Linked DNA regions of Arabidopsis thaliana. The protein of the gene in region 1 interacts with the protein of each later gene in a biochemical or structural test. Each region holds a gene or a part of one and is shown in the gene's direction. Other genes may lie near its edges. The genes, in order: HIK, SUC1 and NP1.

Region 1 (12,258 bases):
AAGTAGGACCAATGTTTGGTCGTGGGTTCCATTAGGCTTTCTCTGTTTGCAAGGGGGAAGAACATTTCTAGTCAGTTTGGTGTGAGGTTAAGAACTAGTGGTCTATCTTTAAATTTATTATTAATATTGGGAAGAAAATATTGAAATGGATGTAGCTAGTCAAACTAAGTTGATATCAAAACTTGTTTTAATGAAAACATCCATTAATGTTTTGCATGGAGGGTTTTTTATGTAGGTGTATAGGGTAAGAGATCACATCCATTTGCCAACTTAATTATAACTTCCAAATGGCCAATGCCAATTAATCGACAAAAATACTATAAATATGTGTATGTATAAAAATATAGGGAGATAAACGAAAGTATATATGAAGGTTCTTTTACATAAGTTGACGCCAATTTATGAATCTTTAGTTAAAGTTTAAGTTACCAAATTATTTATATTGGTGAAGACAAATTTTCACTTTAATCGGCATACTAGAGATTTCCTTTGTTTGTCCTTGTGATGATCAAACACATTGAGTTTTAGGAAAGAGTTTTTTTTTTTTTTTTTTTTTCTTCCTTTTAGGAAAGAGTTAGGTTGCAACAAATGTCAATGTTTAGTTGGGCCATTACTATAGATTATCTATTATGTATGGTGGAGGGATTTGATTCACATGCAATTTCATTCATTCAAGACAACTTACTCTTTAACTTGTTCATTAATAGAAGTAGTAAAGCATCCATGCCCAAATTGGTGTGCTTTAATTAGGAAATTTTGGAAACAGAAGTTTTTTTTTTTTTTCTCTGAAAGTGTCTTTCATTAAAACTTCATAGATGCAGGTCTTACATTGTGATTGCAGCAGTGGACTTTCCACTTACATTGGAAACAGAAGATAAGCTCAATATACATATATATATTCTTCTGACGTTAAATTGGTGGATAGTCATCGCCGTCGCTGAGCTGGCGTTACTTAATTACCATCATTATTTTGATGTCTCAAATATTTTTACCTTTTCCGTAAAAAAATAAAATTAACCACTAATAAAAAAATAGTTTCAGTTGGCAGCAAATAGCAATACAAAATTGCTGATTTAGTCCGGTCAGGCCCAATCACGAAGTTTTGTATGTTACGGTCCCTCTCTAGGTGGAATCGGAACAAGATCATCATTATATACATTCCCAAAAATATCATCTAATACAGAACACGAACACCATTCTCTAACTGTTAACTGACAATTTTAAACATACAAATAATAAACACATACAATGTTAGTGGCCGTGCGACTAATTTTACTTACTGTCCCATTTCACAATGACACTATCTGGAGACTGTGCAACCAACGGTCCACTCTTGTTCACATCTACAACATCCATTTCCGAACCAAATCCATTGTTCTGTATCCTCGTCAACGTATCCTGCACGTGCGACATACATGGCCTAAGATCTTTATCCGACTGCAAGCATTGGAACGCCAGCTCAGCGACAGCGATCACCGTCTGTCTCACTCTTGTATCCGTGTCAAACCCAAGTGACGGATCCACCATGTCGCGGAGCTCGTGGTTCTGGATTTTAACGACTGCCATGTTCGAGAGGTTGATCTCTTGGCGCGGTCTTGTGATGTCGACTGCTGGAAGTGAAGAGATAAGCTCCATTAACACTACCGCAAAGCTGTACACGTCGCTTTTGTTTGAGAGTTGATAGCATAAGTGGTAATCCGGGTCGACATATCCCGGAGTTCCTTGTGGAGCGGTAGATACGTGCGTTTTATCCATAGGAAACAGTCTAGAGAGTCCAAAATCCGCAACCTAAAATGTCGAAAACAGTAAAAAAAACACAGAAAGAAGTTAAGATTATGATCCGATAAAATCCCACCAGATTGAGTAATAACCAGTGTGAGTTACTGACCTTGACATTGAAGTTTTGGTCGAGAAGGATGTTGTTGGATTTAACATCACGGTGGATGATCTTGGAGGCGTGGAGATACTTCAAGGCAGAGGCAGTTTCAACAGCGATTTTGAGCCGAATAGACCAAGGAAGTGAGCTAGGGTTTGCCTGTGGACCATGTAGATGATCAGCTAACGTGCCGTTTGCAACATACTCATACACTAGCAGTAAGTCCCGGCTCTGTTTTGAGGAGCATCCAAAGAGAGCCACGAGGTTTGGATGGCGTAAACCCGTTAAGATCTCAACTTCATTCCTGAATTGCTCTGCTCTTTTGAAGTTGTTATCGTATAACCGTTTAACGGCTACGCTTCGTCCATCTTTAAGCTTACCGTAATAGACAGTACCAAAGCCTCCATCACCGAGTTCTTTAGATGGGTCGAAGTTATTAGTGGCTTCTTCAAGTTCTTCGTAAGAGAAAATATGAACTCCGACTAATAATTCCTCTGCTTTCTCGATGTCAAAAGACTTTGCAGATGGATCTGATGAGATGTTTCTTGGAAGCAATGCTGAAGAATTTCTGTAACTTTTTGTTTTTCTACGATGGTATACATACCAAAATATGCTCGCAGCTATTAATCCTACGACCGCAGCGGATGCACCTGAGATGGATTTTGTAATCTGTTAAAACTTGAGCGGGATGATTAACGAAACAACAGAGCATAACATAACTTTGCCAAAGTAGAATTTTATATCTTTTGATGGTGCGAAGAGCATCATAAATCAAATCGAATCTATTAAAATACTGGTTAGTTATTATAACCACATATCAAAGTCTTTTTCCCAAAACAGAAGATTAAAGAATTTTACCTATGAGTACCTTCACTATCACTCTCCTTCTTTTATCATTTTTGCCTGGAATGAAGAAACAGAGAAGAATAAACCAGTCAATGGACTTTCAGATTTCAGCATTCGTAAGAACATATAGATTGAGACTAAAAGTTACTTAACCAGTCAGAGATTGTAAAAAAGCCTTTAACAATGTATTGACAAAACTAAAGCAAAGAAAAAGGAAGGGACAACATGTCAGAAGATCAATTAGACGTCAATTCACAAGTGGTTACCATTCGTGCAAGTATCATGAAGTTTAGGTCCATCAGGACACAAGCATACGAATTCTTGTTGATCAGTTCCACATCTCCCGCCGCTGGTGATGCAGCGGAAGCAACTGTTTGCAGTCCAATTCAGAACAAAACCCCTCTTCAAAATCTCAACATAAGTCATACCCATCACATCAGACTCATTACTAGCTAAAACAGGAACATCCACTAGTTTCTGGCACGACATGGATGCAATTTGTTTCTCTTTTCCAAGTTTCTTTCTGTCAAAGACCCCAAAAGATCGAAGAAGACTCGTGTTTCGAGCACAAGTAAGAGGGTATGTCCTAAAATCCTCCAGCAGGTGATCGGAACAATTGTAAAGTATAGTGAAGTTGATATGAGAAGGGTTCACAAAGAAAGGAGTCCTATGGAGGGTAAGATTGTTCAGCGGTCTGGGACATGGATCATGAGAAGCCTTTGAGTTCACGACCTGAAACGACTGTGTTAAGTAAGATATGTTCTTGATGACATATTCCTCACCGGAGATCCCGAGAACAGGGAGCTTTTCTTCATCATCACAAGTGAGTTCAAAACTTGGATAACCACAAAAAGATTCTTGCTTTCCAGATAGATAAAATGGATAGGAGATCTGGGGACCTTTGCCGCATGATTTCGGCTCACAAGCCTTGAACTTTGGATCAAGAGAGAGGGTTTGAGTTGCTATTATTGTGAAGTAGAAGAAGATGGATGTGTAGAGTAAACTTGGAGTTGAAGGATTCATTTTTTAAGAAAAAACTAGATGAAGAAGAAACAAGAAGAAGAGAACAAAACAGAAAGAAATCAAAGATTTTCAGGAGGAGTGGGTGAGAGTTAAAATGTTTGTTCAACTAGTGTGTTGAAAGAGTATAATACTAATTTTCTTGGTGTAAAGAAAATAAACACTGCAATTTGACTTAAAAACTGAAACTTTTAATTTGTCTCTTTGAGCCTTTGAGGTTGAAGATGACCCCACAAAAAAAATCTTTTATGGGAATTTTAGTGCTCTTTATTTTTTTAAACTGGAAAAATCATTGTAGTGGAAGTATAATGGATTTTGTGTAAAAAGAGATTTTTTCAAGAGAGGGTCGGTTAGAGTCGTCGTCGGTCTACTAGCAGAAACTTCAAACGCAAGAAAATTAAAAAGTCGTTTTTTTGCTTCTTCTAAGACCGACCATGAAAAAGTAAAACCGGATCGATAATAACTAGTGTAGGTTCGACCCAAAAAGCCCAAGATTTGATCCAGCAGCATGCTCGCGCTACAAAAACACCAGCTGTGTAATCCCTAATATTTTTGGAGCGAAGACTACCACATAAATACTTGGGACAAATGATAAACAGAAAACTGGACACGTAAATCCAGGTTGAAAAAGTCAAAATGTGTCTTTAAAGATTATTAAAAGTTTTGGTCAATGACGATAACAATTCTCGACCAATTTGGTCAAAGTATACGTTCTGGAGTCTGACGAAACTAATCTTAAATGTTAATCACATCAAGAACAGAAATTGGTACTAATCTTAGAAGAAAAGTGGTACTAATCTTAGAAGAAGTAAAAGCTTGAATCTAAATGATAAACGACTAACCTTGGTTAGTGTTATCGTCGCAGGAGGAGTTGTGAGGTCTGTCCGCACATAGACACCGGAAACTCTCCGAATCTAACGCCGAACCACAAATCCCACCGGAATCAATGCATCTCCGGCAAGCTTTGTCTTCCATGATGTACCTCAAATCGAATCCTTTTCTCAAAGCTTCCACAAAAGTTAGTTCGGACCGTTGAAGCTCGTCCTTAGCAGACCTCAGCATCGGAATTTCTGCATATTTCATACAACCTTCGTCAGAATCCGACGATCGCAAGACATGATATGTCACCGGATCCTCGTAGCTTTCTTCGCAAGAAATCTGCAACGGAGCTACGCCGGAACAGTTGACGAATACATCGATCGTCTCGGTGTTGGAGTCTAATGTGAACTGATTCTTCCCGTTGAAGTTCCAAATGTTTAGGCAACCTCCGTCTAGTAGACTATCATCGGCAACGGAAATTTTATGATCCTCCAGATTCGCAGAAACAACGCGAAGAGTGATGTTCCCGATCGCTAGGGTTAGGTTTTGATCACCCTCGCAGGAGAGTTTGAATGACGAATGACCGCAGAATTTGGGTTTATTGAATCCACCCCAGAACGGATACGTGGTACTCTCGAATACCCTGTGTCCAGATCCACATGTCAGATTACGTGAGCGACACTCCTCGTACTGTTGATCGGCTGAGAAGCACGACGGGAGGTCAGCGACGGAGAAGACGACGAAGCTGATGAAGAAAAAAAAGATGGACATTGGGTTTTGACAACTAAAGCCTTCTTTTTTTTTTTTTGGTGAGAGGTTTTGGGGATTTTATGGAAGATTGGTCAAAATGATCGGTGACGACTTTTATTAATTACAGTCCGGCGAATTTAAAACAGATTATGATCGCTGATTAGTGATTACATTATAACTACATCCTAAATAAATTATTTATGTATATGAACGGTCAGAGATTCATACAGATCTTTAATGGTTATTTGACTTGTTGGAAACTATAGTGTGTTTTTTTTTGGACAGACTGAAAGCGACTTGATAGTTGATACCTATAAATATCGACTTCATAGTTACATACAAATGCAATTGTTCGACTAAGGTTAATTAATGACTTATTTGTAAGTTATAAACATTTTAATTCTTTGACCCAAAAGAACATTTTTAAGTATGTCAACAATTTTTCTTGAAAATTCCACTGCGATTTTATGCTTCCAATATATAACAGGACTGCAAACTTATAAAATTGATGAATATAAGAAAACATTATATATATAAAGGAATGAAGAGAACTGATGATTATACACAAAAAGAAAAAAAAACGTTAATCGAATTACAAAAGAGTATTATGTGAAAATTTATGTTAGTATTTCATTAAACCTCACTAAGGACTTCAATCATAATTTTGTAAAAGAAATTGCAGACTGGTGAAATAGTCCAATAGCATATAATTGCATCAAAATCTGAGTGAACATGGTTTTGATATACTTTATTATGAAGTCAACTGAATGATAGACTTGTGATCCAATCAAAAACACACCATTGAATAAATAGCAAAGAGATGGAGAATTGATTGTTTTTTTTTTTTGAAGTTTGAATTTTTGACCAAGGAAAATGAGAATACATGTGTTATCTTTTGAGTTTATTTATCCATTTATGTTGTTTTCTTAATATTTGTATACACATATTCAACTAAAGTTGCTATAAAAAACGAAATATACAGGCTTGCAGATATTTCAAAATCTCATGCCGAAGACCTTGACTCCACACCTCAAAGACTCGTATAATAATATTCCAATCCCACTTGCTGCAATAGAGGGGAGGTTCTGCCTAGTGAAGTATAATGAGGGTGTAAACGTAGTTTACTATTTTTATACGCCAAATTGGTTAGTAGTTACTATTTCCCGCTTGATCTGCAAATAAATTAAAATTGTAGAGGATGAAAAAGAAAATAACAATAAATGACCGTTTTGTGTTAAGGGCCAATAATAATTACAAGAAGACAAAATACATCAAAATTGGCAGCTAAGAAAAAAAACAAAATACCGAAGTAATAATTAAAGATGAAATGATAATTGACAGAAAAAAAAAAAATCTATAGAGAAAATTTGCAGAAACAGTAAATGAGAAAATTATCCATGGAAAAAATTGAGGTAAAGGTGATTTCTAGAAGAAATTAAAACGTGGGGAGAGCTTTTGAAATAAGCTAAAAATAAAAGCCCCTCAAAAGAAACGTGGAAAGAACTAGCCGTTAGAGGTTCGTCAGATTCAAAATCTCACTCTGCACGGGTTTCCGTAAAGACAAAAGAACCCCCAAAACCCGTTCTTCTTCTTCATCATTTCTACCACAAAGATACACGAAACCCAGAAACCGCTCTCACTATCTTCTCCTCTCAATATTCTTTTATTCTTTTAATTTATCTCTATCGTCGATCTGAGACGATTCTACATTCTTAGCTGCCTGAGATCTCTCTCTTTGATCTGAGAGTAAAACTCCGATTCATTTGTTCGTTTTTTTCTCTGTAAGTGTTTTTGATCTCTCTTAACTATTGTTTTTGTTAGAACTATTTAGTGAAATGACGTTTTTAGGAAGTTTTGAATATAACATTTCTGGATTTGATGAAATTAATCTGAAGAAGCTAAATTTTCCTTTTATGAGCAAAAACTAAAGATTACCTTTTTATGGATTAAGTCTGCACAATGTTGCCTTATATGAACTTTTTTCCATAGATCTGATAGATTTGGGGGAGAATTTAAGCTTAGAATTAAGTTGATCTATTAGATCTGATGAAAAAATTGGGAATATTTTGTAGGGAAATGACTATAAAAACACCGGGAACTCCGGTTTCGAAGATGGACAGAACACCAGCTGTAACACCAGGTGGAAGCTCAAGATCCAGGGAAGAGAAGATTGTTGTTACTGTAAGGTTAAGGCCAATGAATAAGAGAGAACTGTTAGCTAAAGACCAAGTTGCTTGGGAATGTGTAAATGACCACACCATTGTGTCTAAACCACAAGTTCAAGAACGTTTGCATCATCAGTCCTCATTTACATTTGGTAATTGAAGTTTTATATCTGATGTTTCCAACTCTTCAAGTCCTGCGGTTTTTGATGGCTAATAATGCACTCTTTTGATTTCAGATAAAGTTTTTGGACCAGAGAGTTTAACAGAGAATGTGTATGAAGATGGTGTTAAGAATGTTGCATTGTCTGCTTTGATGGGCATAAATGGTACTTGTCTTTTTAATGATTCTTCTGTCTTTTACTCGGATTTATCATAGATGACTAACTTCCCTTTTTAATGATTCAGCAACAATATTTGCATATGGACAAACAAGCAGTGGAAAGACATATACCATGAGAGGAGTAACGGAGAAAGCTGTCAATGATATTTACAATCACATAATTAAGGTAAGCACTGCTTTGGTCAGAGTCAATGTTTTAGACGTCAAATGCAGTTCTTCTGACCAATACCTTTATTTGTTTCACTGTTGTTTCCAGACCCCTGAAAGAGATTTTACTATCAAGATTTCTGGTCTGGAAATATATAATGAAAATGTCAGAGATCTGCTCAATTCAGATTCGGGACGTGCCCTTAAACTCCTTGATGATCCAGAGGTATCATACTAATTTTATACATTGATTATGTTCTTGCTGATGTTATGTCCTTGATTCAGTCTAGACTTTCGTTGATCTAATAACCTATTTATCCACAATTGCAGAAAGGTACTGTGGTTGAAAAACTGGTTGAAGAAACAGCTAATAACGATAACCATTTGCGGCATCTGATTAGCATTTGTGAAGGTAACTTGAATTACTTGGCTTTTTGTAATTCTATTCTCCTGGTTCATTCTGGATAGTAAGACTGACTGTTGGTGTTTATTTTCTTTGTGTTAGCTCAAAGACAAGTTGGAGAAACTGCTTTGAATGATACTAGCTCGCGGTCACACCAAATAATCAGACTGGTAATGATCTTAATTCATTGATTCTTTAAAACACAGATACATATACTCTGCAAATGCTAATAACATGTTCTTGATGGCAAAACAGACAATACAAAGTACTCACCGCGAAAATTCAGATTGTGTGAGGTCATATATGGCTAGTCTGGTAAAAATTGATCCCTCTCTGTTCAATTTCTCTGTTTTTTCATAATGATTAACTAGAACTTTGTGGACTTAGTGCGTGTGTGTGTGTGAATGTATTGCAGAACTTTGTGGACTTAGCAGGAAGCGAAAGAGCATCACAATCGCAGGCAGATGGAACGAGACTCAGGGAAGGTTGTCATATCAATCTAAGTCTAATGACACTTACAACTGTCATAAGGAAATTAAGGTACTGTACTTACATATTTTCTGAGAGATTAAAATCTCAATCTCAAATACTTTTTAAGTAAGAAACTTATTTAATCTGAATCTGTGAACTCTTCATAGTGTGGGGAAAAGAAGCGGCCATATACCTTACAGAGACTCCAAGCTTACTAGGATTTTACAGCATTCACTAGGTGGGAATGCTCGAACAGCCATTATATGTACATTGAGTCCAGCTTTGGCTCATGTTGAACAATCAAGAAATACTCTATACTTCGCCAACCGAGCCAAGGAAGTTACAAACAATGCCCACGTGAACATGGTAATGATCTTTGTTCCATGCTTTTGGTTCATCTTAGTGCCCTTTTGGATGAAAACAAACTAAAATATTTACTTCCTGTCTATTATCTACAGGTTGTCTCTGATAAGCAACTAGTGAAACATCTTCAGAAAGAAGTGGCTAGATTGGAGGCCGAGCGTCGCACCCCTGGTCCATCGACAGAAAAGGATTTCAAGATCCAGCAGGTTTCTGTCCATTTCAGATCACCAAAATATATAATTGAACCAAAGCTTTGGTACTTAGTTTATGGCTATTTTGTGACATTCTCAGATGGAAATGGAAATCGGAGAGCTTAGAAGACAAAGAGATGATGCACAAATTCAACTTGAGGAGTTACGCCAAAAGCTTCAAGGGGATCAGCAACAAAATAAGGTCTCTTAATCTACCTCTCTGTCTATCTACTGTACTAAATATATTCACAAGCGTTGGCTGAAGTTTAAACTAAACCTTTTGTTGAATCTCAGGGCTTAAATCCTTTTGAATCTCCAGACCCACCGGTCAGAAAATGTCTTTCCTATTCTGTTGCCGTAACGCCTAGCTCGGAGAACAAAACGCTAAACCGGAATGAGAGAGCAAGAAAGACTACGATGCGCCAATCTATGATACGGCAATCATCAACTGCTCCATTTACATTGATGCATGAAATCCGCAAACTCGAACACCTTCAAGAACAGTTAGGGGAGGAAGCAACGAAAGCCCTTGAAGTGTTACAAAAGGAAGTAGCTTGCCATAGACTAGGGAATCAAGATGCAGCTCAGACGATAGCTAAGCTTCAAGCAGAGATAAGGGAAATGCGTACTGTTAAACCATCTGCAATGCTTAAAGAGGTTGGAGATGTCATAGCTCCTAACAAGAGCGTAAGTGCCAATCTCAAGGAAGAGATAACAAGGCTCCATTCACAAGGAAGCACCATTGCGAATCTAGAGGAGCAACTTGAGAGCGTTCAGAAGTCAATAGATAAGTTGGTGATGTCTCTTCCGAGCAATATCAGTGCTGGAGATGAGACTCCAAAGACAAAGAATCATCATCATCAATCAAAGAAGAAGAAGCTTCTTCCTCTGACACCAAGCAGCGCATCCAACCGCCAGAACTTCTTGAAATCTCCATGCTCTCCGCTTTCAGCTTCTAGGCAAGTCTTGGATTGTGATGCTGAGAACAAAGCTCCTCAAGAAAACAACAGTTCTGCAGCTAGAGGGGCGACGACACCACAGGGGTCTGAGAAAGAGACTCCACAGAAAGGAGAAGAAAGCGGAGATGTCTCGTCAAGAGAAGGTACTCCAGGCTACAGAAGATCAAGCTCAGTGAACATGAAGAAAATGCAGCAAATGTTTCAAAACGCAGCAGAGGAGAATGTAAGAAGCATAAGAGCATACGTAACCGAACTCAAAGAACGAGTAGCTAAACTACAGTACCAGAAACAACTTCTCGTTTGTCAGGTTAGATAAAGATCACAACCCATAAATAAACCTTTTTTCCTCCTTTTATATTTTCTCATCAGTTTTGAACTTACGCAGGTGCTTGAGTTGGAAGCAAATGATGGAGCTGGATATAGTGTAGAGAACGAGGAGAACACGATAATGGAAGATGAAGAGCAGAATCAAGTGGCGTGGCATATAACTTTCATAGAGGAAAGACAACAGATCATAGAGCTGTGGCATGTCTGCCATGTCTCCATAATCCACAGGACACAATTCTACCTACTGTTCAAAGGTGACCAAGCCGATCAAATCTACATGGAAGTCGAGCTAAGACGGTTAACTTGGTTAGAACAACATCTAGCAGAAGTAGGAAACGCAACTCCAGCTCGAAACTGCGATGAATCTGTGGTTTCTCTATCATCAAGGTAATGAATGAATGAATAACTCTCACTTGGAAAAATGTTGTTGTAAAAGTTTCTTCAACTAATATGGTCTTGTTTCGTTTTCAGTATAAAAGCATTGAGAAGAGAGCGAGAGTTTTTGGCGAAAAGGGTTAACTCGAGATTGACGCCTGAGGAGAGAGAGGAGCTGTATATGAAATGGGATGTGCCATTGGAAGGGAAACAGAGGAAACTTCAGTTCGTGAACAAGCTATGGACTGATCCTTATGATTCAAGGCACGTGCAAGAGAGTGCAGAGATAGTTGCGAAGCTAGTTGGATTCTGTGAAAGTGGCAACATCTCTAAAGAGATGTTTGAGCTCAATTTCGCAGTGCCTTCAGATAAAAGACAGTGGAACATTGGTTGGGACAACATCTCTAATCTTCTTCACCTATGAAGACTTATTGTGTGTTTATGATTTGTAAAAGTACACGACACTTCTTTGTCTCCTCTGAATTTGATTAAATAAGCTTTACCAGACTCGTCTGATTATGTTTAATATAGTGGTCTAGATTTCTTAAACCTTGTGAGGACAAGCTTGCTAAACCCTCAAGTCCAACTGCTAACCAAAAGTTGTCCAAAACACTGCGTTTTATTGGAAACAACGATGTGCCAACGTGGCATATTTGGAAGACTCTCCTCGTCTTTTTCGCTGGACAACCATATAATTATCTCAGCTACTAACCAACAAATAAAAAATCAAAATATTATTTAAATGTTAATGTTGTTCTCTCGAATCATTCCTTAAGAAAGATTTTCACTTTCCAATTTGCTTCACTGTCTTGTCGATTCTGCTTCTCCAAAAAATTTCTTCTTTAGTTCTGAGTTTTTCTCTGTTCTGAAAAACCCCAAATTTTGTTTTTTTTGGCCATTCAAAATTTCAGAAGAAGGCGATACAAAATCGTCTTTGAATTCTCTTTGTTTATGATCTGTTCAAGTAAAGGAACGGTCGTAATTGCTACTAGAAGCTCATTTCCCAGATTACTAAACCGGATTCAAAATCGAAATGATGTTCCGATTAGTGTCATAGCTACTCGACGATCATCAATGTCGGTGGAGGCGTTTCCGATGAGGTTAAAATCATCACAGAAGAAGAGGAAGATGAACATTGGTTGCGGTGTTTCCCCTTCTTCGCCGACGACGACGGTGGTAGATGAGGAAGTAGCCATTAGGCGGAAA
Region 2 (9,368 bases), about 21 Mb from region 1:
TTTTCGTCTTTTTCGATTGTTAAGAGTTACGTTGAGTTGAAGTAGTTAAAAACTAGTAACTGTTTGAACATTAAACATGTTATGTGAAGCAAAACATAGATATCGAATAGACTTATTCAACGAGATCTTAACGTGGTGCAGAGTGAAATATTTAATCGTTGTGCGACGAAGGCAGTTTTGAAATATTGTTATCTATTTTTTTTCTTGTTTATGTTTTTTCAGCTAATATTATTTTGGATGAAAAATCGAAAAGTATAAGCCGTTCTCTCTCTCTCTCTAAGAATGTTATTGTTAGCTAGCATTCTCTTCGTTCTGTTTTTCTTTTACATTATTTTTATTGATCTCTTTTACACTTCTATAGTGTTCTAAATGATTAATATTGGATCTTCCAGTGATTAATATGTTGACTAATCTCATAGAATAATATGGTGAATAGTTGAACTTTAAAAGAAAATTAAGCAAAAATACTCATTGCCGAGTCATATTCAACTACGAGTGCATAATGATGGGGCGAACCACGATCTCGTTAGGCTACAACAAACTATAATCCTCTCTTGGGGTCCCGATCCCCGACCCTATAATTTCGGGAAAAAAAATTATAATTTCATTTTGACAAAACCTTTTGAATTTTAATAATTCATGTTACCTGTATTATTGTCATGTCCCTGAAACTATAAGGAAATGAATTGCATTGATCTAGTGTCCACTTTGTTTTGCGGGATACATTGATTTTATTTCATAAAGTGGATGTAATTTTTCTTTTACTTAATGAGTCATGAGTAAATAAATAAAAACGCTACAAAAAGTGATGCAAATGTTTTGAACCTTGTTAATGATGTTTAATGCTGTATATTTGGCTAAGGTCATATAACATAACATTTGGTGATTTATAATGATTTATATTTTGGTAACTAATTTCTCATGCATATATCACATATAGAAAGATATGTCTATATATATAGAAAGATATATATATATATATATATATATATATATATATATTTGTACTCCATTTGAGGGTATTTTCTGATAAAATATTTCATAGTCATTCACCTAACTAAGTTCCAGAATTTGGTTATCTACCTAATTGAATCTTGAATTAAGATTGATTATTTATATATAAACGAAAAAGAGTACGTATCCTATGGATATTTCTATAATTCCAAAAGATAATTTAGGTGGCCTTAATAATTACTCTTGCTTCTTCTTCTTCTTTAATATTTTGTATATATTTTTCTGTCATTAATATTTTGAAATTATGTAATGTACCATATAAACTTTTGACATTATGTTTTCAGATATATTCTTCTGTGGTTACACTAATATTGATTTGTTTTCCGAAAGGCATTCAAAAAAAACAAACGAAAATAGAGAGAAAGTCGCCCTCGAAATATACGTTGCTTTTCTTTTCTTATGTGAAGAATAGCTTCTTCTTCTTTGTGTCTACTATAAACACTAATAATCTTTTTTTAATATGATTATTTTTATTTATTTTTGGGCAAAATGTTTTTTTAATATGATAGTATTACTATATATTTAGGTTGATCGGAAGTTATATCCTCTCTCATTGGCCTATTTTTGACTGTTATTTTCTCTATCCAAATATATCTATCAACATTGAATCCTGCCTTATTTTATCGATTCCCAAAACACAGCTTAACCAATTTGGTTTTATTTCAGTTAAGTTTTCGGTTCACAACCAATATGTTGGAGTGTTACTAATCAGATAGACGGGTAAAATAAATTGTTTGCACAACCTATTCATATAGTTAAAATAAGCGAATAGAGAGATAATTGAAACTACAGTGAAAATTAACAACAAATGGAACATACGTCCAAGTAGTTGAGACTTGAGGAGTAGAAAGACAACGTAAGGAGTTGACAAACATGTGAGCCATTTGAGACTAATTCACAGACAACTAAAATCCAAGAGTTATACTAGTAAATGCTTTGGTTATTTTAATATATTTTCAAGTCGTCTGCCCGTTGAAAACTGGAGAAAATGTATATAGAGTACTATTCAGCTCGAAGACAAAAATGTAGTGACTAAAATTAAAATGCTTAATTGGTCGGATAAACAATCCAAAATAAATGGGAAATGAGTTTTGAGTTGCGATCGTATCTTGCATTACAAGAAGCAAATTTTAGGGTTAAAGTTTCTGTCACATAACTCCGTTACACAATTCGCTTAATTTTGGATATTTGACAGAAACTAATTAATATGTAAACTTTAATATATATATTGGATTTTAGGCAATTTAACAACTAATTAGTGGCGGACAAATACTGATTATTTTCCCTTTATATATATATATATATATAATTGAATGCTTCTATATTTGTTATTTTGTTGTCACAATGTTTTTTTTTTTAAAAAATTAAATTTGATATCCTTCAGTCCATCACTAGTTAACAACATTGCCAAAATATACTATCTTTTCGTCGAAAAAAAAACTCACCATACAAACTAAGTGATTTTTCAGTAGTTTGTGATCAATGCAAAAATGATAAAATTAATTTAATGTTTACAAAGCTGATGTTGGGTCGAAAGACTTGGACGTCAAGGATAACATTTGGTTCTAAAATATATGGACGTGAAAGATAGCATACCATCTTTGGGACTGTTCGGATAAGAATGTGTGTGCATTAGTTTTGGAAAGTGTTTGGCCACTCGGATCTTTTTGTGATAATCTCCAGACTATGAATATTGCGGAAATATAATCCATGATCAGAGAATATTTGGCGATGCTTGATCCATGACCGTAATTGGAGCCGGATATGTTATGATTTGATCTACAACTATTATTACGCTAGATAAGCCAATTAATTATGGTAGGTGATCGTGAATATAACTTCACTGTCCGAAAAAGAATAGTGTATATGTTGCCCTGAACCATCTATCTCATTAGGTGCTATGAACTAGTGAGTTTTAAGTATAGAGGGTGCATATAAGTCGTTTTTCCATCTTAAATCAAAGACATTTCTTAGTATCTTCTAGATATTTCATTCTTTTAGTACCATATAAATTAGGGATTTGGACAATTCACAATTATTTATTTTAAACCAAACAAAATAATTGTTCTCCGATAATCAGATGTGACTTATGTGATATAGTACATATAAATATACACACTGTTTAAATTTGTCTACCCAATCGGAATCATAGAAACTTTATTGTTTACCCAAACAAAACGGTACTGAATATCGGAACTTTTTTTATTAAAAAAAAACTGTGAGAGAGAAATTGAATCAACGTCCAAGTCACTTGATGCAAGAAAAAAGCGAAACCAATTAAATTCCCGTAAAAACAGAACACAAAAGAACAGGAGAGTTAATGTTCTAACTGACACGTGTCCCTACCTTGCCATACACTCACACAATTAAAATTTCTAACTCTGTCTCTTATCCGAAAAATAATCATCTCCAAGTGTAATAAGAAAATCAAAATAAAACTCTCATTTCTTCTTCTTCCTCGCCTATAAATACAACTCCATTCTCTCATCTCCTACATCACAAAACAAAAACCTCACTTAAAAAAAAAAAACAGAAGACAGAAAAAAACAAAAAAAAAAAGAAAAAGAAAAATAAACAAATTTTCTTTTCTTTTTTTTCCTCTAAAGTTTCTATTTTGTCTATTCGTGTTTTTTTTTTTACTTCCTGATAATGGGAGCCTATGAAACAGAAAAACCAACTAAAGATGCGGCGGCTCTAGAGACACAGTCGCCGGAAGATTTCGATCAACCATCTCCGCTTCGTAAAATCATCTCCGTCGCTTCCATCGCCGCCGGTGTACAGTTCGGGTGGGCCTTACAGCTCTCTCTTCTTACTCCGTACGTTCAACTCCTCGGAATCCCTCACAAATGGTCATCTCTCATTTGGCTCTGTGGTCCAGTCTCCGGCATGATTGTTCAACCAATCGTCGGTTTCCACAGTGACCGATGTAGGTCCAAATTTGGTCGCCGTCGTCCTTTCATCGCCACCGGAGCCGCACTCGTCGCCGTCGCTGTTTTCCTCATCGGTTACGCTGCGGATTTCGGTTATAAAATGGGAGATAAACTCGAGGAGAAGGTTAAAGTTCGAGCTATAGGGATCTTTGCTCTCGGGTTCTGGATCCTCGACGTAGCCAACAACACCTTACAAGGACCTTGCCGTGCTTTCTTAGCCGACTTAGCCGCCGGTGACGCTAAGAGAACGCGAGTCGCAAACGCGTTTTTCTCTTTTTTTATGGCGGTTGGAAACGTTTTGGGTTATGCGGCTGGTTCGTACACTAACCTCCACAAGATGTTTCCGTTCACAATGACAAAAGCTTGCGATATCTATTGCGCCAATCTCAAGACTTGTTTCTTCTTATCCATCACTCTCCTCCTCATCGTCACCGTCACGTCTCTTTGGTACGTTAATGACAAACAATGGTCTCCGCCGCCGCGAAATGCCGACGACGACGAGAAGACCTCAAGCGTTCCTTTGTTCGGTGAAATCTTTGGAGCATTCAAAGTCATGAAACGTCCCATGTGGATGCTTCTAATCGTCACGGCCTTAAACTGGATCGCTTGGTTCCCATTTCTTTTGTTCGATACTGATTGGATGGGTCGTGAAGTGTTCGGTGGAGATTCAGATGGAAATGAACGATCGAAGAAACTATACAGTCTTGGAGTCCAATCTGGTGCAATGGGATTGATGTTTAACTCTATAGTTCTTGGTTTCATGTCACTTGGTGTTGAATGGATTGGTCGGAAATTAGGAGGAGCTAAACGGCTTTGGGGTATTGTCAATTTCATCCTAGCCGCTGGTTTGGCCATGACGGTTCTCGTTACGAAATTCGCCGAGGATCACCGGAAAACCGCCGGTGATTTAGCCGGACCGAGCGCTAGTGTTAAAGCTGGAGCTTTAAGTCTCTTTGCTGTTCTTGGTATCCCATTAGCTGTAAGTACACTTTTGTGTTGTCTTGTTAAAAAACTTTTTGCTTTGCTTAAACTAACATTAATCGATTCGTTTTTTATTATTTACAGATTACTTTCAGTACTCCTTTTGCTCTAGCATCCATATTCTCAAGCTGCTCCGGTGCAGGCCAAGGTAAATATATACATCTTTAATATTAAAGTTACTAAAGTTACAAATATGTGGGACCGTAACTATTATATTTTGGTTTCATCCACCTTATGCAATTATAACATAGGTATTTAAATTGTTTTTGTGATGTTTTGATTTACAGGACTTTCATTAGGAGTTTTAAATTTGGCGATTGTGATACCACAAATGATAGTCTCACTAGGAGGTGGACCTTTCGACGCCTTGTTCGGCGGTGGAAACTTACCGGCGTTTATCGTTGCAGCAATTGCAGCGGCGATTAGTGGAGTATTAGCGTTAACCGTTTTACCTTCACCACCACCGGACGCACCCAAGGCAACGACCATGGGAGGATTCCACTAGTTTACTATTTTTTTTTTTTAATGAAACTCATCAAATACAGTATTACTGTGCGAAACTGCAAAAACCCAAATAAAAGAAAAGAATGGATAAAATGATAAAATCTAATAAACCTTGGGTCGTCTGTATTTCACCCTTTTTTAGTTTTTTTTCTTCTTTTTTTATAACTTTTGTCACTTATTTTAATTTGAAATAGAATGTTTTTTTTTTTTGCCCTTAAATAAGATTTGTGTGTTGAGTACAATTGTTTACTGTTTGCTTCGGTAGAACAAATATCCAACTAGAAAGTAATTCCCTCTACCCTCAGAAAAGAAAATTTTGATAATAATGTATGGCAATTCTTTTATATATAGGGAACAAGTTGAACAATTTATGTAGTTTAGAACGGTTTAGGCGATAAATAACCATTAATAATACCAGTTAAATTAATTAATATGATTAATAATTTTAAAAATACTTATTAATAAATATTAAAACAATTCTCATGTAAGTACATAAAATATAAACCTAGAAGATATTAAAATATTAAATATTAAATAAGAAACCTTAAATATTCTTGCAAACAACTAGTCCAATCAATATGACATTTTTGTATTCTATAAACACACTGTATTATAATATAAACTATACAGTATGTTTCTTAGCACAGTATGACACTTAACAACTTGATGATTTATACTAGGCAACAACCAATGTTTTTGAAGATCATACAATATCATTTATAAGTATATCATTTTTTATATTACAAAATGAAAGATTGTTTTGGTCAACAATATGCGGGCTTGAACCCTCAGTGGCGATACAACATTTTACATATCTATATATAAGTTTTTTCCACCAATTTTTAGAATATTTGCCTAAAATATAAGAATGTTTATACTGCTTAATTAGTGAGTAAGAACAGGTAGTCCATATCCATTTTATACAATTCGGACTCAGTTGTCACGACTTCGTTAATTGGCAACTTTGGCAAGTATGTTGATTTCAGAACACATCGAATCAACAAAGGACAGTCTATTGTGTTAAGTTGCAAACGATCAAAACAAGGCTGGCGTAACATAAATGAAGGCCTTTGGGCTAAATAAATATAATAGATACATCAAAATACAACTTTCAATTTGGACAGACTTGAAGCCTTCTATAATTTGGCCTGGATCAATACTCCTTTTAAGACTAAGGTGTATCAGCCCAGTCTTTTGATTTTTGATTATTTTTTTTGTAAACCGAGGCAAGATTTTTGATAGGCAATAATCCTACTTTATAATACATTCGGAGTGTGTATTCAATTAAACATTTTAAATGATTTGTGTTAAAATAACAAATTCAGCCTCACAATTTAATGTTAAGGATACAATCATATCATCCTTTCATTACCTCTTATGCAATTTACCACAAATGATTGAAACCTCTTATTCAACTAGAGGTTTTGAAATATTGATATATATATTTGGATTTTGTAAATAATTAAGGTTTTTAAATTATGTCATTTAATTATTTGAAAAATGAGGGTAAATAAGATTTTGTACATGACTTTTTTTAAGGAGTTTTAAGTTTGGCAATTGTGATACTACAAATGATAGTAGTGTGACAGTGTCACCTTGGATTCCATTAATTTTCTATGTTCCCTTTTCATGAAATTCATCAAATAGACAAATACAGTATTATTGTGCAAAACCCAAATAAATGAAAAGGTAAAATCTAATAAACCTTGGACCGTCTATTTCACCCTTCTTTTAGTCTTCTTACTGACTTTAATTTGAAATAGAATTGGTTTTTGTTTTTGGCCTTCAGTAAACATTGTGTGTAACTAAAGTCTTCTTTTGTTAACAAGAAAGACCCAGAAGATCACACTAGAGAAAATAAGTCCTTTTTATGGCACTTCTTTTTGAATTAGATGGGGGAAAAGTTGAATTACTTTACTTTATTTTTATTTAGGTAAATAAATTACTTAATATGACTTCAAAAAATAGACATTAAATAAAATTTGTTAAACTTAATTAATTTGATATTTGATTAATTCAAATTACTTAGAAACATTTTAATTCTCATGTAAAGATACTGACCAAAAAATATTAAAAAGTATATACTACTAAAATAAGGACGTCCGTTAAATTATAAACCTTAAATATTCTTGTAAACAACTAAGTTTAGTCAACTAAAAAAAACAAAACAAAGAGGAGTTAATGACCTACTGCCACGTGTCCTCACATTGTCATGCACTCACACAAATGAGATTTCTAACTGCGTCTCTTATCTGGAAAATAATCTCATTCCTTCTTCTTCCTCGCCTATAAATACAACTCCAATGTCTCATCTCCTACATCACAAAACTAAATCCCCACTTTCACAACAAAAAAACTCTTTTCTTTTTGTCTGCTCGTTTTTCTTTTCATAATGGGAGCCTTGGAAGCAGAAAGAGCCGCCAACAATGCTACGGCGTTAGAGACACAGTCGTCACCGGAAGATCTCGGTCAACCATCTCCTCTGCGTAAGATCATCTCCGTCGCTTCAATCGCCGCCGGTGTACAGTTCGGGTGGGCCTTACAGCTTTCTCTTCTGACTCCTTACATACAACTCCTCGGGATCCCTCACAAATGGTCGTCTTACATGTGGCTTTGTGGTCCTATCTCCGGCATGATTGTTCAACCGATCGTCGGTTACCACAGTGACCGATGCGAGTCCAGATTCGGTCGCCGTCGTCCTTTCATTGCCGCCGGAGTCGCACTCGTAGCCGTCTCGGTTTTCCTTATCGGATTCGCGGCGGATATGGGACATAGTTTTGGAGATAAACTCGAGAACAAGGTAAGGACTCGAGCCATTATAATCTTCCTAACCGGGTTTTGGTTCCTCGACGTGGCTAACAACACCTTACAAGGACCATGCCGTGCTTTCTTAGCCGATTTAGCCGCCGGAGACGCTAAAAAAACGCGAGTCGCAAACGCGTGTTTCTCCTTCTTTATGGCGGTTGGAAACGTTTTGGGTTACGCTGCTGGATCTTACACTAACCTTCACAAAATGTTTCCTTTCACAATGACAAAAGCTTGCGACATCTATTGTGCGAATCTCAAGACTTGTTTCTTCTTATCCATCACTCTCCTCCTTATCGTCACATTCTCGTCTCTATGGTACGTTAAAGACAAACAATGGTCTCCACCTCAAGGAGACAAGGAGGAGAAAACATCAAGTCTTTTTTTCTTTGGAGAAATCTTTGGAGCTGTTAGACACATGAAACGTCCCATGGTGATGCTTCTAATTGTCACGGTCATTAATTGGATCGCTTGGTTTCCATTTATTTTGTATGATACCGATTGGATGGGTCGTGAAGTGTACGGTGGAAACTCAGATGGAGATGAACGATCGAAGAAACTTTACGACCAAGGAGTTCAGGCTGGTGCATTGGGATTGATGTTTAATTCTATACTTCTTGGTTTCGTGTCACTTGGTGTTGAATCGATTGGTCGGAAAATGGGAGGAGCTAAACGACTTTGGGGATGTGTGAATTTCATACTCGCCATAGGTTTGGCCATGACGGTTCTTGTTACTAAATCGGCTGAGCATCACCGGGAAATCGCCGGTCCTTTAGCCGGACCGAGCAGTGGTATTAAAGCCGGAGTATTTAGTCTCTTTACCGTTCTTGGTATCCCATTGGCCGTAAGTACACTTTTGTTTTGTCCTTTTGTTTTCTTTACAATTTTAGGTTTGTAACCGATTCTTTTTTCTTGTGTAATTATTATGACAGATTACTTACAGTATTCCATTTGCACTAGCGTCCATTTTCTCAACCAATTCCGGTGCCGGCCAAGGTAATTTTCATTTATTTAAAATGTTAAGTTACAAATCTAATGGTCAGATTCTGATAATGTAGGACATATTAGCATTTATTGAGTTCAAACGTTTGATTTGAATAATTAATTGAAAAGATTATGTTTCCAATTTTGTGT
Region 3 (11,391 bases), 3.4 Mb from region 1:
TTGACATGTCATAAACTTAATGCACTTTGAGCATATCTATTTTGCTTTCTGTTTATTATGTCATCGTAGCATATCTGAATGGTTTTCTTGTCCCAAACCCAACAATGTATTAAATAAATTGTTGTATATGTTGGACAATTGTACTATTTGTCTTTTAGCGAAGTATTAATGACAACTTAATATTAACTAGATTTCTTGTTCTTAATAGTGATTTTTAAAGTTCAAAATATTAATGTCAATAATAATAGGAGTTATTGTAAAAACTAAAGAAATATTAGATGTCAAAGAGGTCTTGTGAAAAGATAATTTTTATAATATAATAGAGTTTATGTTTCTTAGATATTATAATATTAATGACAACTTAATATTAACTAGATTTCTTGTTATTAATAGTGATTTTGAAAGTTCAAATATTAATGTCAAAAATAATAGGAGTTATTGTAAAAACTAAAGAAATATTAGATGTCAAAGAGGTCTTGTGAAAGATAATTTTTTATAATATTAATAGAGTTTATGTTTCTTAGATATTATAATAGTTTTAGCTTTAAATATGTAGGAATACTTCTTCAAAAAGGACTAAAAATAAGGTTATTGTAAATATAATTATAGCATAGTAAGAATATATGATTAAAAAAAAAAAATTTGTAAATTTACTTTTAAAACAAAAAGTTGTAAATTTAGAAAATTAATTGCTAACTTACAATATATATCTATATTTGCTAAATTTAGAGAGTTGTATTTAATAAAATTAATATTGTTCAGATAAACATAAACTGAACATAATTTTGACCAAGAACTGTATATAAAATATATGCATTGAACTCTTCAAACTTCTCAATATTTCATTTTTCTAAACCATTCTTAGTTATATCTAGAAGAAACTCAAAAACTTAGTAAAATGGATCCGAATATGATGATAGTAAAAACCCTATCAGAGACCGATTGTTCTCATGATAATAAATTGATTTTACCAAGAGATAAGGTTGAGAACATAGTAAGAAGCACGGGAGTTCCAGTACCTCGAATGGGTATTCAAGTAGAAATTCTAGACAATACCAATTCCTATTGGGTAAATCTTAGACAAAGCCAAAGAGGTTATTTTATCGGACGTGGGTGGGGAGAACTTAGAGATGCAAGAAATCTTAAAGCAGGCGATGTCATCAAGTTATATTGGCAAAATACCAAATTTATATTTTCTATGTAATTTTATTTTATTTCTTTTACCGGGAATGTTATCTTACATTCAATTCAATTTCTTAATAAATCTATTTAACTAATCTTTTGTCTAATAATTATATCTTGGATGGTTTTATATGTTTCATACAAAAAAGTTGCATTTCAATTTGTCATCTAAATTATGGATATTTTGTTAGATTTTTTGTTTTGGATCGATACAATTGTTAGTCAAAATAAATTATGTTTTGACAAAATAAAATAACTCTCATGTTATATATAATAGATTGTGACCTGCGTCTTAACACTAACTCAAATACTTACCATTGACGATTATGTTAACACATATATGTATACTATAAATTCTTTATGTTTCATTTTATATATTGTTTAGAGTTTCAGCACATAGATTAATAAATCATTTAATTTGTTGTTTTTCCTATTTCAAATTATGTTTGATCTACTTAAAAAAATTATCCAACGAAAAAACAAACAGCAGAATTTCAAGAGTCAAAAACTATAAAATAGTAATAATTTTTATGATAAAATTTGAAAGCAATTTTTGTTTGCTTCTACAACTTTTATAACTTTTATAATAATTAACCCAATAATCAGCTTGTATGGGCCATACCTGATCATCACCTTATAGCGATTGATATAGATTTATCAACCGACTAATTAACAATAAATAATTTAAAATGCGATTTGAATGATTTCGTCCACGTTAACGACAACAAATTCACGTAGCTATAGCCAACAAAATATGTTATAAAAGCATAAATGAACTACCAATGTTTGTTTAATGTTTGATATCGCTATTTAAAAACAAAACAATCACAAGCTTGGTCACCAATTTGATATATATCCGATACACCTGTACCTGTTGTTCAAACTAATTCTTAATTACAACACAAAACAGGCGCCTAACTTGCGCATGGAAGTTTATTACACAATTATTCGTAGACTCACCTAACGAATTGACTTCTACGCCAACGTGCGTCCATGCATCTCAAGATCCTTCTTCAATCATACACCCATGAATTCGCACATATACGTTGATGTATATGAGATTATGAAAAATTCACGTACACATTACATGTATCTTATAGACATCGCTAAGAGCATAGAGAGAGAGAGAGTTGGGGGAAAATGGGGGCCAAAAGCAAAAGTTCGAGTACGAGATTTTTTATGTTTTATCTTATACTAATATCATTGTCGTTTTTGGGTTTGCTCTTAAACTTTAAACCTCTGTTTCTGCTCAACCCCATGATCGCTTCTCCTTCGATAGTTGAGATTCGTTATTCTTTGCCGGAACCGGTTAAACGGACTCCGATATGGCTCCGACTCATTAGAAACTATCTTCCGGATGAGAAAAAGATCCGAGTGGGTCTTCTCAACATCGCAGAGAACGAGCGAGAGAGCTACGAGGCAAGCGGGACGTCGATCTTGGAGAATGTCCACGTGTCGCTCGATCCTCTTCCGAACAATCTGACATGGACGAGTTTATTCCCGGTTTGGATCGACGAGGATCACACGTGGCACATTCCTAGTTGTCCAGAAGTCCCTCTCCCTAAGATGGAAGGTTCCGAAGCTGACGTGGACGTCGTCGTTGTCAAAGTCCCGTGCGATGGTTTCTCGGAGAAGAGAGGGTTAAGAGACGTTTTCAGGCTACAGGTGAATCTGGCGGCAGCGAATCTTGTGGTGGAGAGTGGTCGGAGGAATGTTGATCGGACTGTGTACGTTGTCTTCATCGGATCTTGTGGGCCTATGCATGAGATCTTTAGGTGTGATGAGCGCGTGAAGCGCGTGGGGGACTATTGGGTCTATAGGCCTGATCTTACGAGGTTGAAGCAGAAGCTTCTCATGCCTCCTGGTTCATGTCAGATTGCTCCGCTAGGTAATTTTGGCTTTATTATTCATAGGTCAATATGTTTTCTTCATTTATTTATTTATTTATTGTCGCATGCATGATGACATAATGCATAGTTAAAAAATTCCAATGTTTCGCTAACTATTTCTTATTCGTTGTTAAAGGTCAAGGAGAAGCATGGATACAAGACAAGAACAGAAATCTCACATCCGAAAAAACTACATTATCATCATTTACTGCCCAACGTGTCGCTTACGTGACGTTACTACACTCATCGGAGGTATACGTATGCGGAGCAATAGCCTTAGCACAAAGCATAAGGCAATCTGGATCAACCAAGGACATGATTCTCCTCCACGATGACTCTATAACCAACATCTCTCTCATTGGCCTAAGCCTTGCTGGCTGGAAACTACGGCGAGTGGAGAGAATTCGTAGTCCTTTTTCCAAGAAGCGTTCTTACAATGAGTGGAACTACAGTAAGTTACGTGTGTGGCAAGTGACAGATTACGACAAACTAGTGTTTATAGACGCAGACTTCATCATCGTCAAGAATATTGATTACCTTTTCTCCTATCCTCAACTTTCTGCCGCTGGCAATAACAAAGTCTTGTTCAACTCAGGAGTCATGGTAATGCATCTAACTAACAAATATCTTTAACAATAGATTGTTTGATTTGAATATGTTGACTTTTTTAAGTTTCTAAAGATATTGCCTTATCAATCCATTTCTTACTATTTTATTTTATCGAATTTTCCATATGTTTTATATAAGAAAGTCTGGTTTTCTTCAGGTTCTGGAGCCATCAGCTTGTTTATTCGAGGATTTGATGCTTAAATCATTCAAGATCGGGTCATACAACGGGGGAGACCAAGGATTTCTGAACGAATATTTCGTGTGGTGGCATAGGTTATCAAAACGTTTAAATACGATGAAATACTTTGGTGATGAAAGCAGGCATGATAAAGCGCGCAATCTTCCAGAAAATTTAGAGGGCATACACTACTTGGGACTAAAACCATGGCGATGTTACAGAGACTACGATTGTAACTGGGACTTGAAAACGCGACGTGTGTATGCAAGCGAGTCGGTGCATGCGAGATGGTGGAAAGTGTACGACAAGATGCCTAAGAAGCTGAAAGGTTATTGTGGTTTGAATCTTAAGATGGAGAAGAACGTTGAGAAGTGGAGGAAAATGGCTAAGCTCAATGGTTTTCCTGAAAATCATTGGAAAATTAGAATAAAAGATCCTAGGAAGAAGAACCGTCTAAGTCAATGAGAAGAGTCATCAAACTCGCTTATTCAACAAGAGACTTAATTTTTTTTTTTTCTTTACGTAAAGATTTTGAAAGGGAATTTAATTTCTAACAGGTAATTGTGGATTATGAAGGAAAAACATTATACGTAGTTATGATATATATTTCGTTCGAGTGAAAGTATTTTTAGTTTTTTACAAAGACTAATAACCATACTTTTATTTGGAATAATAATATGCGTAATTTAAGTAAAGTAATTTTCTCTTTTCAAAAATATAATTTCGATGCCTTTTTTCCCTCTCACTCGTTAACACTTTTGTGCCGACCGATGAATCAAAATTAGAGTAACAGTGAAACGCATTCTTCCCTCAATCGTTCAAATGCAAGATTTCTTCGGCTCCGTTCGTCGATCGCTTGTTTTCCGTCCTTCTTCCGACGACGATAACCAGGAGAACCAGCCTCCGTTTCCCGGTGTTCTCGCCGATAAGATCACCTCTTGCATCCGCAAATCGAAGATTTTTATCAAACCCTCCTTCTCGCCTCCTCCTCCTGCTAACACTGTAGACATGGCACCTCCGATTTCGTGGAGGAAAGGTCAGTTAATTGGTCGCGGCGCGTTTGGTACGGTGTACATGGGTATGAATCTTGACTCCGGGGAGCTTCTCGCCGTCAAACAGGTAATTTAGGGTTTGTTTTTCTGATTGCTGTGGATTTGAAGCTAATTGGGACTTAATTTTGAATGACCTAATTCTCTGGCATGTGTACTGAACTTCAAAAGCTTTGTTCTACTCAGGTTCTGATTGCAGCCAATTTTGCTTCCAAGGAAAAGACTCAGGTTCATAAACAATCCATTTCATCGAGTTTTCCCTCTTTCAATTTCCATTGATTTTTGTACTTCATTGAGTTTGTTATCTGTGTTGGTGCTAAGTAGGCTCATATTCAGGAGCTTGAAGAAGAAGTTAAGCTTCTTAAAAATCTCTCCCATCCTAATATAGTTGTAAGTAACTGTTGGTATTGTCTCCTTCTCAATGCATACGGATTCAACACTTCCTTGTGTTATCTATCTAACTCAGGTATTTTTTATTTTCTGGCCTTAGAGATATTTGGGTACAGTGAGGGAAGATGATACCCTGAATATCCTTCTCGAGTTTGTTCCCGGTGGATCGATATCATCGCTCTTGGAGAAATTTGGACCTTTTCCTGAATCAGTAAGTCATGCTTGGATTTTTTTTTGTTCAATCTCTTACAATGTGTGCATTGCTTAAGTGGTGAGAACGATTGAATTAGGTTGTCCGGACATACACAAGGCAACTGCTTTTAGGGTTGGAGTACCTGCACAATCATGCAATTATGCACAGAGACATTAAGGTAACAATTTTTCTCCATACTTTATAAGTGCTTACAATCTCGAGTCCTTACCCATGAGACTATATGTTTCTATGTTTTCTCAGGGGGCTAATATCCTTGTGGATAATAAAGGATGCATTAAGCTTGCTGATTTTGGTGCATCCAAACAAGTAGCTGAGTTGGTAAGTCAAAAAATAATTTGTTTTCTACAAAGTATATTGCAGGAAGCATTCTGTTCTGTGTATTCTCTTATTTCTTAGTTGGTCTAGTATAACATATCCTTCAGAGTGATTTAATGTGATTGACTTGATTTCATCTCTAGGCTACGATGACTGGTGCAAAATCTATGAAAGGGACACCATATTGGATGGCTCCGGAAGTTATTCTTCAAACTGGACATAGCTTGTAAGAAACCAAGCGTGCTCGTAAATGCAAAATTAGATGTTTTGTAACTGATACTCATACAATTGTGGCTATTAATTGTAGTCCTGGTGACTTATGTCCCATATTTTTGATTTCTCACAAACCTGTGGCTATTGTTCTCAGCTCTGCTGACATATGGAGCGTCGGCTGTACAGTTATTGAAATGGTGACTGGGAAGGCTCCTTGGAGTCAGCAGTATAAAGAGGTAATTTGTTCGTATTTCTGGTGATATTTTTTCGTGAATAATTTTGCTTCTTAATTACAAGTGGACATACTTTCTTTTCAGGTTGCTGCTATCTTCTTCATAGGAACAACAAAATCACATCCTCCAATACCTGATACTCTCTCCTCTGATGCAAAAGATTTTCTGCTCAAGTGTCTGCAGGAGTAAGCTACTTTGCTTCAGCAACATTAGTTTGGAACTTTTAATAGTAACTTCCTTCACTACTATTGTGTCTTGTCTTTGGAATTGCTGAATCATTGGATCCGTCTTGACAGGGTACCAAATCTGCGGCCAACCGCATCTGAGCTACTAAAGGTGAAGTATAAATAGTTTGAGTGATGCCCGCAATATTAAATTGGAAAGGTTTGAGTAAAATTCCTGATTTTGTTTTATTCGCAGCATCCTTTTGTTATGGGGAAACACAAGGAGTCTGCTTCTACTGATCTTGGTTCTGTCCTGGTGGGTGGATGTTAACCGTCTTATGAATATCATATAACTTTTTCTTGAAGCCATCTTGATAAAATTATTTTTGTTATTTTCCAGAACAATCTTAGCACTCCACTACCGTTACAGATAAATAACACCAAGAGCACGTAAGTTCTGAATATCTGGCTGAAACCAAAATTTCTAAGATTATTTTGTGGGTTTATGAAAGATTTTGATGGTTTATTGTCTGTTTCCTTTGTTTCAGTCCAGATTCTACTTGCGACGATGTAGGTGACATGTGTAACTTTGGCAGTTTGAATTATTCACTTGTAGATCCTGTGAAATCAATCCAAAACAAAAATTTATGGCAACAAAATGATAATGGAGGTGATGAAGACGATATGTGTTTGATAGATGATGAGAATTTCTTGACATTTGACGGAGAAATGAGTTCTACCCTTGAAAAAGATTGTCATCTGAAGAAGGTAGCATACATATGATTTCTCATTTAGAATTCCAATGGCTGATCAAGTCTCAACTCTTGTTTGGATCATGTTTCAATTTGTTTTGTAAGCATTACTTATAAAATCTATGTGTACAGAGCTGTGATGACATAAGTGATATGTCCATTGCTTTGAAGTCCAAATTTGACGAAAGTCCTGGTAATGGAGAGAAAGAGTCTACAATGAGCATGGAATGTGACCAACCTTCATACTCAGAGGATGATGATGAGCTGACCGAGTCAAAAATTAAAGCTTTCTTAGATGAGAAGGTCCCTCATGCACATTATACTACATTATTCATTGTCCTCACTGCATTTTCTACGTAAATCACTAACATGGCAGTGAATATGTATTTGTCTCAGGCTGCAGATCTAAAGAAGTTACAGACTCCTCTCTATGAAGAATTCTACAATAGTTTGATCACATTCTCTCCCAGTTGTATGGAGAGTAATTTAAGTAACAGTAAAAGAGAGGACACTGCTCGTGGTTTCCTGAAACTGCCTCCAAAAAGCAGGTCACCGAGTCGGGGCCCTCTTGGTGGTTCACCTTCAAGAGCAACAGACGCAACTAGTTGTTCCAAGAGCCCAGGAAGTGGAGGTAGTCGTGAATTGAATATTAACAATGGAGGTGATGAAGCTTCACAGGATGGTGTATCAGCACGGGTCACAGACTGGAGGGGTCTCGTTGTTGACACTAAGCAGGAATTAAGCCAGTGGTTAGTGGCTGCGATAATTGGGATTTAAGTTTTAAGGATTTAGACATTTCCTTAATTTCCTCTTTTAGAAACTCGGTAGGAATCAAGAAGACAGAAATAAGTCCCATTCATGCTTATCTTAAGCTATGATCACCCAACTCCAAACGTGTAGAGTTTAAATTCAGCCTAGCTATTGACCAGCAACGATTTAAATCTGTCACTTAGTCTAGGCTTCTTGTTTCATTCCTGAATCTGCTTGAATTGGCTGGTTTTGGCTTTGCAGTGTTGCTTTGTCAGAGATAGAGAAGAAGTGGAAGGAAGAGCTTGATCAAGAACTGGAAAGAAAGCGACAAGGTATGTCACTCTTATTAATCTAGCAAAAAAATGTCAAAGATTCTCTTTAAGTTTTACATATTTAGAATTTAGAATTCGGCGCTTTGCATTGACCACTGTTAACATGCAATCATGTAATGTTGAGAAACATGACATTGTAGCATCCACTTTTTGTAAGCTTGGTAAGTTGACTTGTGGTTTATGTTATTGCAGAAATCATGCGCCAAGCAGGGTTGGGATCATCCCCAAGAGACAGAGGCATGAGCCGACAGAGAGAGAAGTCGAGGTTTGCATCACCAGGAAAATGACTTGCACAAAAAGTCTCCGGCTTTTTGATTTTTGATTGCTCAACTAGTATATATATCTGTAACTCTTATCTTGCTGTGATGAAAAGTAGACACGAGGTTTGGTCTGAATATATGATTCTGAACTGGTTGTTGAAGGTATTAGATGTGTGTAATGTGAGTGTCGGGTGCATATTTAAGTGCGCTACAAATTGCTAAAACCTGTGCAAGTTTCATTTATTGAAAGGTTCGAGATTACAGGCAGTTATGTAACAAACATGAAACATGAATAGTCTCAACCAAAAACACTAAACCTATCAGGGTAGTTCCAGCCCTGAAGCATAACACGAGGAGACTTCTTCATGCCTGTAGGAGCTGCAAATGAGATCTTAAAAGACATTGATTCACCTGGAACTAGTGAGAAATAGTTGTCTGAGTAGTGTACTGGTAGAATCCTCGTATCTTGTTTCTCTGTCTCTGCATTGTGAACTGAGAAACGAAGGAAGAAAGCAACTCCTGAATCCGATCCCTTCATTTCCACTACTTTCAAACCACGGTTGCTATCTGCAGAAACAACACATCTACTAAAGAGTTTCTGGAGCAACCCCAGATCACGTTTTTCGTCTTCCTGGACAACGTTTTTGGCTAAGTTAGCTCTAGATGTGTTATGAACATTGACCTCCAGCTCATATCTTGAACCCACCATAACTGCATTGCAAGTGATCTTGAGAGGTATTTGCTTCTTCCTGTACGGCTCCAAGAGTGTGTAATTTTTTCCAGGCAGATGCAGCCAGTAGAAGTTCCGGGATATAACTGCTTTGTCTGAGACAGTGTACAGTTTGAGAAGAAGGAAATATACATGCTTTGGGTTTGCTGCTTTCGGATACTTGAATTCCGATATTTTCACAACTTTCTTTGGTGGGGCAGAGACAATTTTAAACACTTTATAGTATGGGCAGTTCCCGTCTAGGTCCCATACTGATGCCTCTATTGCCACATCCGACAGCTCTTTAGAAGTCGTGTTTACAACCTGTGCGGGGGGTCAAAGGACATGATTCCATGTATTATTTACATAATTTATTAGACTTTTATACACTTCTTATTTAGATCAAGAATCTAATTTCGAGAGACCTTCGTACACAGTGATTGTCAGAGAGAGAGAGAGTAACTAATCACACTGACCTCAACAAAGTAACTTGCCAGGTTCAATTGTACATGGACTGGCTCTGCAGCGGAACGGCAGCCATAGAAACTGGCTGTTTGGTCGAGAAGATGATCGTAGAATTGACCTCTGAGACCAGTCCATGGATTTTGGTTCTTCCAGATCAAGACACCCGTGTACTTCGTCCACATTTGCGAACTCCAACCCTCGAATAGAGCTCTGTACTGAATGTAGTTTACCAGTTGAGCCTGTTACAGAGGAAAAACCAAGTCATAATATATCACTTATGATCTCAAGTTTCTTTTATTAATCGAACATAGACATTGCATTATTAAGTTAAGGGGAAAAGTAACATTTATGCACCAGGGTAAGACAACACCAGTAAAGGCTAAAACGGTTAAGATCCCAAATTTACCTTCAAGCAGAAGTCATCGAGATTCTCTGGAGTACCGTACATCAGAATCTGGTCATGCACTTTTCCAGGATTAGAATATGGAATGTACTTGTGATAATCCCACATTCGATTTGGCACTTCTTTAATAAACCCGTCCAAACCCTTTTTGAACAGAGGAATCGTCCAACCTTCTGGAGGCATTGTCGCTCTTATCGTCTCTGCAACTGGCATTCCAACCGAGCCGACCTCCGGATTGAACCCATACTTGTAATATGTGTCTTTAAAAAAATCTTCAGGGTATTGAATCTCATAAGGGCCGTCAGTGAAGTTCCCCTTTCCATCTGCAAAGCCGTCCCACATAGATCCTTGAATATAAACTCTAGTACCGTCAAGATAAACACTAGGATCTGAATCTTTGTCTGATAACAATTGGGTTTCAAAATAAGAATGAAGCCTAAGGTCTTGCTTTAGAGCCTCATTTATGTCTTTTGGCGGAACTTGTTCATTTCCACCCACCCAAAGAGCCAGGCTTGGATGGTTTCTCAGAAGTTTGACAGTATCACGAGCACATAAGAGGAATAATTCATGGTCTAGTGGTCCATTCGGATTTGATACTGGAACACCTCTTCCATCAACATCGCCAGTGATCCAAAACTCTTGCCACACCTGAGAATAAATAAGGTATACTTCAGAAATGGCAATGAATTTTGGAAGAAGGGTGATAGCGAATAACTTAAGATTCATACCAACAAGCCGTAGATATCACAAAAGTGATAAAACTCTGGCCTTTCAGCCAACCCACCGCCCCAGCAACGGATCATGTTCATGTTCATATCTGCATGGAATTTTATGTCGGTTCTGTAACGTTCTTTAGAGAGACGTAACAGTCCATCTGATAGTATCCAATTGCCACCACGGATGAAGATCGGCTCTCCGTTGATCTTGAACAGCCTGGAAAATTAACAAAAACAAGTTGTAGAGCCTCCACAGAATCATTCTACACAAGCCAAACTGAAACTGAAATATAAAAAGTTTACCTTCCACCAGTAACACTATCAATAACACTCTCAATCTTTCGGAATCCAAATGGCTGCATCCACGAATCAGATTCTCCGAATTCATTCACAACAACAGTGATCAAGATGTCATAAAGGTTTTGCTTTCCCATCCCGTTGGGCCACCACAATTCAGGTTTATAGAAATAGAGCTGTTAATTCAATATTTCATTAGTTTCTAGGATAAACAATACCACCATCACAGATTCAGAGCCATAAGTAATTTAAGTCGTAACAAGTAATATAC

What was found.
Region 2: of the proteins of HIK (region 1) and SUC1, one has a biochemical effect on the other in vitro, tested with the Arabidopsis thaliana proteins (one study listed by BioGRID).
Region 3: the proteins of HIK (region 1) and NP1 form a complex in vitro, tested with the Arabidopsis thaliana proteins (one study listed by BioGRID).

Annotation. Positions count from the first base shown.
Region 1 is NC_003070.9:6,318,950-6,331,207, reverse strand, and holds HIK (ATP binding microtubule motor family protein), read left to right. Parts: upstream 1-6,829; 5' UTR 6,830-7,092; intron 7,093-7,383; 5' UTR 7,384-7,387; coding exon 7,388-7,628; intron 7,629-7,712; coding exon 7,713-7,802; intron 7,803-7,881; coding exon 7,882-7,982; intron 7,983-8,072; coding exon 8,073-8,189; intron 8,190-8,293; coding exon 8,294-8,375; intron 8,376-8,468; coding exon 8,469-8,536; intron 8,537-8,621; coding exon 8,622-8,681; intron 8,682-8,781; coding exon 8,782-8,906; intron 8,907-9,004; coding exon 9,005-9,203; intron 9,204-9,295; coding exon 9,296-9,406; intron 9,407-9,491; coding exon 9,492-9,593; intron 9,594-9,685; coding exon 9,686-10,657; intron 10,658-10,735; coding exon 10,736-11,064; intron 11,065-11,148; coding exon 11,149-11,476; 3' UTR 11,477-11,758; downstream 11,759-12,258. Other genes in the region: AT1G18390 (Serine/Threonine kinase family catalytic domain protein), read right to left, coding at 1,273-1,788, 1,889-2,545, 2,745-2,779, 2,989-3,745; AT1G18360 (alpha/beta-Hydrolases superfamily protein), read left to right, coding at 12,004-12,258. UniProt on the Arabidopsis thaliana protein: Probable plus end-directed motor protein that functions in the NACK-PQR (ANP1-MKK6-MPK4) MAP kinase signaling pathway, which is essential for somatic cell cytokinesis, especially for the cell-plate formation and its expansion.
Region 2 is NC_003070.9:27,050,671-27,060,038, forward strand, and holds SUC1 (sucrose-proton symporter 1), read left to right. Parts: upstream 1-3,359; 5' UTR 3,360-3,663; coding exon 3,664-4,923; intron 4,924-5,009; coding exon 5,010-5,073; intron 5,074-5,212; coding exon 5,213-5,430; 3' UTR 5,431-5,794; downstream 5,795-9,368. Other genes in the region: SUC5 (Major facilitator superfamily protein), read left to right, coding at 7,822-9,078, 9,167-9,230. UniProt on the Arabidopsis thaliana protein: Responsible for the transport of sucrose into the cell, with the concomitant uptake of protons (symport system). This transport is both voltage- and energy-dependent.
Region 3 is NC_003070.9:2,886,431-2,897,821, forward strand, and holds NP1 (NPK1-related protein kinase 1), read left to right. Parts: upstream 1-4,590; 5' UTR 4,591-4,680; coding exon 4,681-4,977; intron 4,978-5,093; coding exon 5,094-5,135; intron 5,136-5,231; coding exon 5,232-5,297; intron 5,298-5,397; coding exon 5,398-5,508; intron 5,509-5,587; coding exon 5,588-5,668; intron 5,669-5,751; coding exon 5,752-5,829; intron 5,830-5,969; coding exon 5,970-6,052; intron 6,053-6,193; coding exon 6,194-6,275; intron 6,276-6,356; coding exon 6,357-6,457; intron 6,458-6,568; coding exon 6,569-6,608; intron 6,609-6,692; coding exon 6,693-6,752; intron 6,753-6,836; coding exon 6,837-6,886; intron 6,887-6,984; coding exon 6,985-7,204; intron 7,205-7,320; coding exon 7,321-7,491; intron 7,492-7,584; coding exon 7,585-7,937; coding exon of another isoform or gene 7,938-7,965; intron 7,966-8,199; coding exon 8,200-8,270; intron 8,271-8,462; coding exon 8,463-8,557; 3' UTR 8,558-8,752; downstream 8,753-11,391. Other genes in the region: AT1G08985 (AP2/B3-like transcriptional factor family protein), read left to right, coding at 899-1,204; PGSIP5 (plant glycogenin-like starch initiation protein 5), read left to right, coding at 2,323-3,070, 3,208-3,674, 3,838-4,323; AT1G09010 (glycoside hydrolase family 2 protein), read right to left, coding at 8,829-9,563, 9,716-9,943, 10,111-10,755, 10,836-11,040, 11,127-11,296. UniProt on the Arabidopsis thaliana protein: May be involved in an oxidative stress-mediated signaling cascade that phosphorylates downstream MAP kinases MPK3 and MPK6. May suppress auxin signaling that promotes cell cycle.